2 linked regions of the Coturnix japonica genome follow. The protein of the gene in region 1 purifies or fractionates together with the protein of each later gene. This does not show direct contact. Links are inferred from orthologs where the notes say so. Each region holds a gene or a part of one and is shown on either strand. Other genes may lie near its edges.

Region 1 (3,500 bases):
CAAAACTACTGAACAGCTTGGAGTGAGGTTATGGTCCAAGATAATGAATTCAGCAATATAAAAATACTTTATTAACCTGCTGGGAGAAAGAAAGCAGCCTTTCAGCATTGTAAGCACTTTTAGCAACTGGCACAAAAGGAAACTCTTACCTTCACATCAAAAGTTATGACTAATTTTGTGAGGAAAAAATATTGTTATACCTAAAACATTACAAAGTGTGGCCACTGAAACCTACACGATGTTTCCAAACTTGTCTGAAAAACAAAGAAGAGCTACATAAATACTGCAGTATTTTTTGCTATTACTGATGTACAGGAGACATCTTCTTTGGTATTTAAGATATCACTGCTTGGTAAATTAGAACTTCCTTACGCTGTTGATAAACTATCACCAGCAAAATGAATCATGTGTGCAAGATAACAACACATAGTAAGGCAGAAAGAAGAATATACTGGTCAAAAAGAAACATAGAGAATATCCCTTAAAAGCTTATAAAAACTGATAAAACTGTTTTTGAAATTATTTATTTACCTGAAAGAGAGAGTTCTGCTTTTCTGTACCCGGTGTCTTTTCTATCCAGGAATCCAGTGGTTTCAAGGTGTTGGTGTTCTGAGTAACAACAGGAAACTTAGCTGCCAAGGTTGGTCTGCTGGATACATGCAACTGTTCTTGTTGCACTATCTGGAGTTTCTTCAGTAACTCCTGAGGTGATATCACCCCAGAATTGGCTGTTTGATTGCCAGAGAGAGGAACTGGCTGTCTAGGAAGTTTGGACTGTTCTTTACCAAGTGTCTGTGACTCTAAAGTCTGACCTGGCAGGGAACCATTGAAATATACCAAAGGTGGTTGGGTCATATTACTCATCTGTGCTGCTGGTGTTCCAACAGCAGCAGGAGTCCTGCTGAACACAGAAGCCGTTGAGTTCACAGATCCTGTTGCACTGGGATCCATTTTGGTCATCAACCCTGACTGACTCTGTAATTTCTGTAACAAACTCTGAGTACCAGCAGCATCCTGAACTACGTGAGATGTTGTAATGCCATGAGAAGTCACAGGCTGGAAGAGTCCTGTGAAAGCCTCACCCACAGGGTGGATATTGCCATTTTCACAGAGTCGGTTCTCAGGAAACTCAGCAAGTGGGTGAAGGTCTGTCCCACGCACCATGAGCTTCTGAATAGCAGGGCAAAGCTGTTTCTCTGCACAGGGAGAATGCCTGCTAGGTTCTTCATAGGAGAGAGAACGTACCACACCCTGCCTAACAGGAAGGTTCTCTTGATGCTGTTTATTAAGTGGTTCTGTGACATCTGTTTTCTCTTGTTTTCCAAACAGGGCTGTCAAAGACAAGTGTTGTGGTTCAGGATCCGCATTCTGTGAAGGGACAAAGAAAAAAATCTTAGGCGTAGTTATCTCATGCATGATAAATCACATTAGGTGGTGACAATATTTAGCCAGAAGTATTCAAGAAAAAGCCAAGAAAACTGCTATGCTCTTTTCTCCCAAGAGAATTTCTAATAGTTCAGTCGCATCAGAAGGGCAAGAAAACAGTTGTCAAGCTGCTAATGTGGGAGAAAAAAATGAATCTGAAAGATAGCAGTGGTTTCACTTTAAATACCATAAAAGAGCATCTACCCTTCCTGCCATCCGTACAGCATTAATAAAGAACAAAAACCTCCCCCTGTGCAGAGCAAGGTCACTACTTGCGCACCCCCTTGTCACAGCTGACTGAATTCAGCTTTTGCAATATGGTATAGTTTGAAGATGTATCAAAAGACTTTTCTTATTTAGATTACCTAAAATTCCCTTGAAGACAACGAACACAAAAAATGCAGTTCAGCAACTGACAACACCAGCTTGGGATCAAAGCAGCATCCCAACACTGAAAAACAAGGTGGTTTTTTATTTATTTTTTATTTATTTTTCACTGCTGCATCAGGATGGTACATCTGGAACTTAAATACTCAGATCGGTGGGGATGGAAGCAGACTGTTTTATAAATAGATCAGTTCTGCATTTAAAAAATAATCCTTACTGTGATTTTACCACAAATTCTTGCACTGACCTTATGATCTAAGTAAGTACTCCTAGTTGGCTGCTCAATTACATCAACACTAGAACACACACAGAGCACTTTACCTTGCTTTGCTGAGATATTCGTTGATGCTGATTTTCACTAGGCTTCACTGGAATTGGTTTGATTAGGTTGGGGTTGTTACAGATTGCAGAGGAACTAGTTATTTGTTTTGGCTCCGAACAGGTCTTGCACTGAAACAGAAAATCAGTATTTTTTACTAAGTGTTACTGTACTTTTTCCTCTTAGTTCTTTACCAGAGTAAAATCCAGACATAGCTGGGTATTCGGTTACCAAAAATGACGGCCGTGGCACTGATTATGAGTTGTTATGCTGTTGAAAGAACTACAACCTGGCTTTCTAAAATCAAAAAACATATGTAAAAATAAACAATTTCAAGGTTTTCTGAGCACAAGTTTTCCCTTTAGCTTGAAACTCAGTTCTCATCTTTTGCTTGTCCTGCACTTAGCACAAACTCAGACCCATTTTTCCTGCACTGGGAATCAGCTATTCCTTTAATAGTCTCACGTAGTTTAGACACAGGGATTTATGTGCACACAAAGAGTATCCAAAATGCTTTTTGCTAAATACTGAAATTTTAAGCCAAACTATTTTACTTAAACATTCCACAAACATGGGAACTTGTATACTCACACAGAAAAATAATTAAAGATTTAATCAAGTTGTAGATCAGCATGTTTCCCTATTAAATATGACATGATTAATAACTGCATTTATAAATGAGCAGGCAGAGACAGATGACCAAAAGTAGTCATAGAGAGGCCATCATTTAATTCAGGAGAAAAAAAAAAAATGTGCAGAAAGAACTGCATGAAAAGAGAAAGAAAATATGGAATAGGAAAAAGTGAATAAGATAGTTCTGTTTACACTGTACCCAAAACAAGGATCTAGACAACAAAATTAAAACGTAATGGATGTACAAGAAATGCTATTGTCAGTATAAAAGAAAATACTACTTAAGAAGTCACTGTATCTAGATATGATTAAAACCAAGAAACTGAGATTTTTTAATATATATTTTTAAAAGGTATCTACAGCTTAGGACTAGAAGAAAACAAGTATCACTCCTATCTTCAAAGGGCAAGAAGGAGAATTTGCAGAACTTCAGGCCAGTTTGCCTCACCTCAGTCTATGGGATGGTGATGGAAGAAATGTTCCTGGAAGCCACTTCGAAACATGTTAAGGTAAATAACGTGAGTGGGAATATCCAGAATGGATTTACTTGATCAATCTCATGGCCTTCTAGAGGGAGATGAGTGACTCAGCGGGCAATGGCAGAGCAGTGCATATCGTTTAGCTTGACTTTAGCAAAGCCTTTGACACATAACATCCTCAAAGACAAACTGATGCAAAAATGATGCAAACTGAAGATTAAAATGCAGACTAGGTAAGCAGACAGTTAGGACTGAAA
Region 2 (3,949 bases), on another chromosome or scaffold:
TGTCCAGGGCTGCACGGCTCTGCCTGCAACTGGCTTTTCCAGGTGAAAAACTCAGAGTTCCAGGCTATGTTCCCACATCCACACGGCATCACAGAACAGCTTCACATCAGCAGAGCTACAGGGAGCGCATTGGAAACAAAAAGAGAACCCCGGGATGACACAAACCAGCTTTTGTGGGTAAGGGATCTGAAGCTGAAAGCACACGCACTGATGGACCTTCATTTATGGTGATGCATGTGACAAGTGCTGCAGCTGTGGCTCCACGAGGTACCATGGATTTGGGTGGATTTGGACCCGGTTTGGGGAACTTTGTGCAGTGATTTTCTTCTTGCTGGATGAAGGACACAGACAACCCAGTGCTAAACACCTTCAGGTGGTGCTGCTTCTTCACATCCCAGAGCAAACAACTCAATTTGCTGCTTTCATCTTCTCTTCATTGGTCCAATGCTGAGCTGTTGGTCGGGGCTGGGCTTTCCTGTGGGTTTAGGGTTGTTTCTTCTTTTCAATCAAGTCTTATTGCTTTCTCATTATCAGTAGTGCTTAGCAGAAAGAGCTGAGATTTGGATTAACTCTTTGGAACCTCCACAACAGGCTGCATTGTGGCTGATTTGCTTTCACAATCCTTTCCTTTCCAGTTTTTCCAGTATGGCCTGAATTCTATGGACAGCTTCTTTCCTGGCCTGTCGGACACCATCCTGCCCACCAGTCTCAATGGAATCCAGTTCTAACAGCAGCTTGGTCAGCATCTCCTCCAGAAGCCTGTAGGATTTATCTGTCTTTTTCCCTACAAATTCATCCACCTCTTGTTCTAACTCTTCAGCCTGCTCTGTGACCTGTAGGATCCTCTGTATCTCTGGCTGGATGGCTGCAGAATTCATTGCAGTGTGATTGCCAGCTTTGCAACCTGCCTCCTGGTTCCCAGCCAGCTGCCTCCGAGTTGCACTGTTGTACATCTGGGGCTGTGCACTGTATTGTACCTTGGGGTTGGAGGGAGATGACTTGGAGTTATGCAGCAGGGAGGGTGGTTTGTGGTCATTCATTGTCCCAGGGTGCTGGTGATTGCTGTCAGAATAGTAGCAGTGTTGGTTTGCACTCGGATCAGGTTTGTCATAAGCAGATTCCTACAATCAGAAGGGGAAAAAAAAGAGTCTACATTACAGAGGCATTAAATGAGATCTGCTCCACTTCAAGACCCGCCTCTCAGGGTCTGCTATCTCCAGTGCTTTCTTCAATGGCAGTTTGGATATATAAGCAGGTGATTTTGCTGGCAGTACTTAGAACCGCTGCTTTGTTTTTGTCTCCTGGAAGCAAACTGTGCTTGGAGAAAGGAGCACTGAGCAGCTGCATGTGTGTATTGCGGGGGAAGGCAGCATGAGCTGAGCTCTGGCTACAGCCAGAATCTTTGTGTCAGAGCCATTAAAGCATCACTGTACCTTCGAGTCCCACACAGGAGGATGAGCTGCAGTCCTGCTGCCAGTCCAGGGTGGTTGTGATTCAGAGAGGAATGGATTCCCATGTGCTGGAGCTGCAGGCCATGCATACCGTGCCTGCACCCCATAGTGAGGGGGAGCCCACGCCTCCTCCTGAGCCCTGGGCTGTGGGTTGGCCCCGGGGCTGTGGTCTCCATATGGATACTGAGGAACGGGCATCCCTGGGGTCTGTGGGGAGAGGGGGACAGATGTAAGTCCTAAGTCAGCTCCCAATGCCTGTGGCAGAAGGAAGCTCTGGGATGAGCCCCAGCACTGGGATGAGCCCCAGCACTGGGACTGCTGCTGCTTTCTGCTCCAAAGCTCGTGACCTCAGAGCTCCCAGCAGAAAGGGGCAACTCCAAGTTCTTACAAGAGCAAGCAGGGCGAGCTGGGTGGGACATAGAAGCCATTTGGGCCCAATTAGGGTGCACTGTGGGTTCACCCTCTATGGGGTGAGCAGCACAGGAGCTCTCGCTTTGCTGTGCACACCCTAAATGGTTTCTTACCTGCGGTGGGGAATACCCAGCAGCCTTTTGCCTGCGCATTGAGCATCCCTCTGCTGGGCAGTCCTGTGTGCCACAGCCCCAGGGAGGGGCAGGAGGGGGGGGTCGATATGGGGCTGAGCTGTCGGTGCTGTAGGATGGACCTGAAGTGCTGTAGGTTCGTGTTTGTGGCAGTGAGGTGTAATGGGGAGGGTATGGGGCGCTGTAGGATCCGTTGGTGTAGGGTGAGTCCATAGCCTGGGGAGGAGAAAAGGGAAAAAGAGAAAGAAAATGAGCTGAAATGTGTGTTAGGATATTTAATGGGTTATTTCTGTACTGAGCTGTAGGAAACAAGTGGGGCTTGAAGCCCATTGTATCCTATGGCATAGAAATGAAGCACAGCTCGGTCAAAGCCTTAATGGACGGGAGGGGGATGGAAATGGACCCTCATCCCCCAAACCCAACATACCGAGTCCGCTCCGTCGGTGTAGGCCCCAAAACCGAACGCTGGGCTCCAATAACCGGGGTTGAAGCCGGGGCCTGGTGGCTCCTATAAGGAAAAACCCCATTATATGGAGCAGTGATAACGGGATAACGGGCTGTGCTCGGTTCCCCCCCCCCCTTTACCTGCCCGGTACGACCGCGGTGCTCCATGTTTTCAACCCGGCACGCTGTAGCCCACCCCACAGCGCGACACAAGGATAAAAGGCCCCCACCATGCGACCAATAGGATGCGAGGACCCCTGGATGTAACCAATGAAAGGCAGCCCCGCTCGCACTACCGGCGCCGCTTTTAAAGGGACAGTGCATCGCTAAGTACCGCCCAACGTGGGGCGGTTCCGCCACCATGAACTACATGCCGGGTACTGCAAGCCTCATCCAGGACATTGACAGTGAGTGTGACCGAGGTTCTATTCATTCAATAAGGAACCAAGGGGAAAACCGGGACCCGGACGCGGGGGACCCCGGTTTTCCCCTTGGTTCCCATTGGGACCGATGTTCCGTACCCCCGCTTGATCCCTTTCCCCATAGAGAAACACCTGGTTCTGCTGCGGGACGGCCGGACGCTGATCGGATTCCTACGCAGCATCGATCAGTTCGGTACGGATATAATGGGGGGGGATAGGGGGGGCAGCACCGGGAACGACACCGGATCAGGGCTTAATAGAACCCATATGGCTCCGATAGGAACCCAGTTTGTGGTTCCCCCATCCCTTGTCATGTTGGACCCCCACCCCATGTTATATTCCCCCCTTAGGGCAGCACTAAGTTCATCCCCCCATTGACTTGTGCCTATGGCTGAGCCCCCCAGTCTTTACCTCCCTTTACCCCTCTTCTCCCTACCCCCCTTTCCCCCCTTCCCCATTCACTTGTGCCTATAGCTGAGCCCCTCATTCTTTACCCTATAGCACCAGGGATCCCTTTATCAGCTATAGGTAGTGGCTGCTTTGGGGTCCTATAGTGGCTGGGTTTGGGGGATCATGTTGTTTAGGGGATGCTCAGCATATAGGATTATAGTGCTATAATGCAATCCAGCTGCTCCCTATGCTTTAGGCTATGGGTTGTTTCAGGTGAGGTGCTCTGTTTGGTGAAAAACTGGGTGGTTTTGGTAAAAAACTGGTTAAAAACGGGGTGTTTTTTTCTCTATCCCCACAGCCAACCTGGTGCTGCATCAGACAGTGGAGCGAATTCACGTGGGCAAGAAATATGGGGACATCCCTCGAGGGATCTTCGTTGTGAGAGGGGAGAACGTGGTGCTGCTGGGGGAGATTGTGAGTGAGCCCCGTGCCCTGCAGCCCCTCACCCTGCAGCTCTGCTTAACAACAGCTCTTTGCTTTGCAGGACCTGGAGAAGGAGAGCGACACGTTGCTGCAGCAGGTTTCCATCGAGGAGATCCTGGAGGAGCAAAGGTTGGAGCTGCAAGCCAAGCAGGAGTCGGAGAAGCTGAAGGTGCAGGCGTTGAAGGAGAGAGGCCTGGCGGTGCCCAGGGCTGACACG

Evidence for each region. Proteins that work in one complex are often made in the same cells at the same time.
Region 2: the proteins of DCP1B (region 1) and BAG4 purify together in Homo sapiens (affinity purification with mass spectrometry; 3 studies listed by BioGRID and IntAct, counting the BioPlex papers as one, with this or other methods). This does not show direct contact. The link is inferred for Coturnix japonica from reciprocal best matches to the Homo sapiens genes DCP1B and BAG4.

What each region holds. Positions count from the first base shown.
Region 1 is NC_029516.1:51,556,138-51,559,637, reverse strand, and holds part of DCP1B (mRNA-decapping enzyme 1B), read right to left. Parts: intron 2,263-3,500; coding exon 2,134-2,262; intron 1,369-2,133; coding exon 532-1,368; intron 1-531. UniProt on the Homo sapiens protein: May play a role in the degradation of mRNAs, both in normal mRNA turnover and in nonsense-mediated mRNA decay. May remove the 7-methyl guanine cap structure from mRNA molecules, yielding a 5'-phosphorylated mRNA fragment and 7m-GDP.
Region 2 is NC_029537.1:3,645,694-3,649,642, reverse strand, and holds the start of BAG4 (BAG family molecular chaperone regulator 4), read right to left. Parts: upstream 2,801-3,949; coding exon 2,579-2,800; intron 2,502-2,578; coding exon 2,421-2,501; intron 2,210-2,420; coding exon 1,976-2,209; intron 1,659-1,975; coding exon 1,434-1,658; intron 1,122-1,433; coding exon 615-1,121; 3' UTR 1-614. Other genes in the region: U6 snRNA-associated Sm-like protein LSm1, read left to right, coding at 2,799-2,844, 2,984-3,052, 3,608-3,723, 3,794-3,949. UniProt on the Homo sapiens protein: Inhibits the chaperone activity of HSP70/HSC70 by promoting substrate release. Prevents constitutive TNFRSF1A signaling. Negative regulator of PRKN translocation to damaged mitochondria.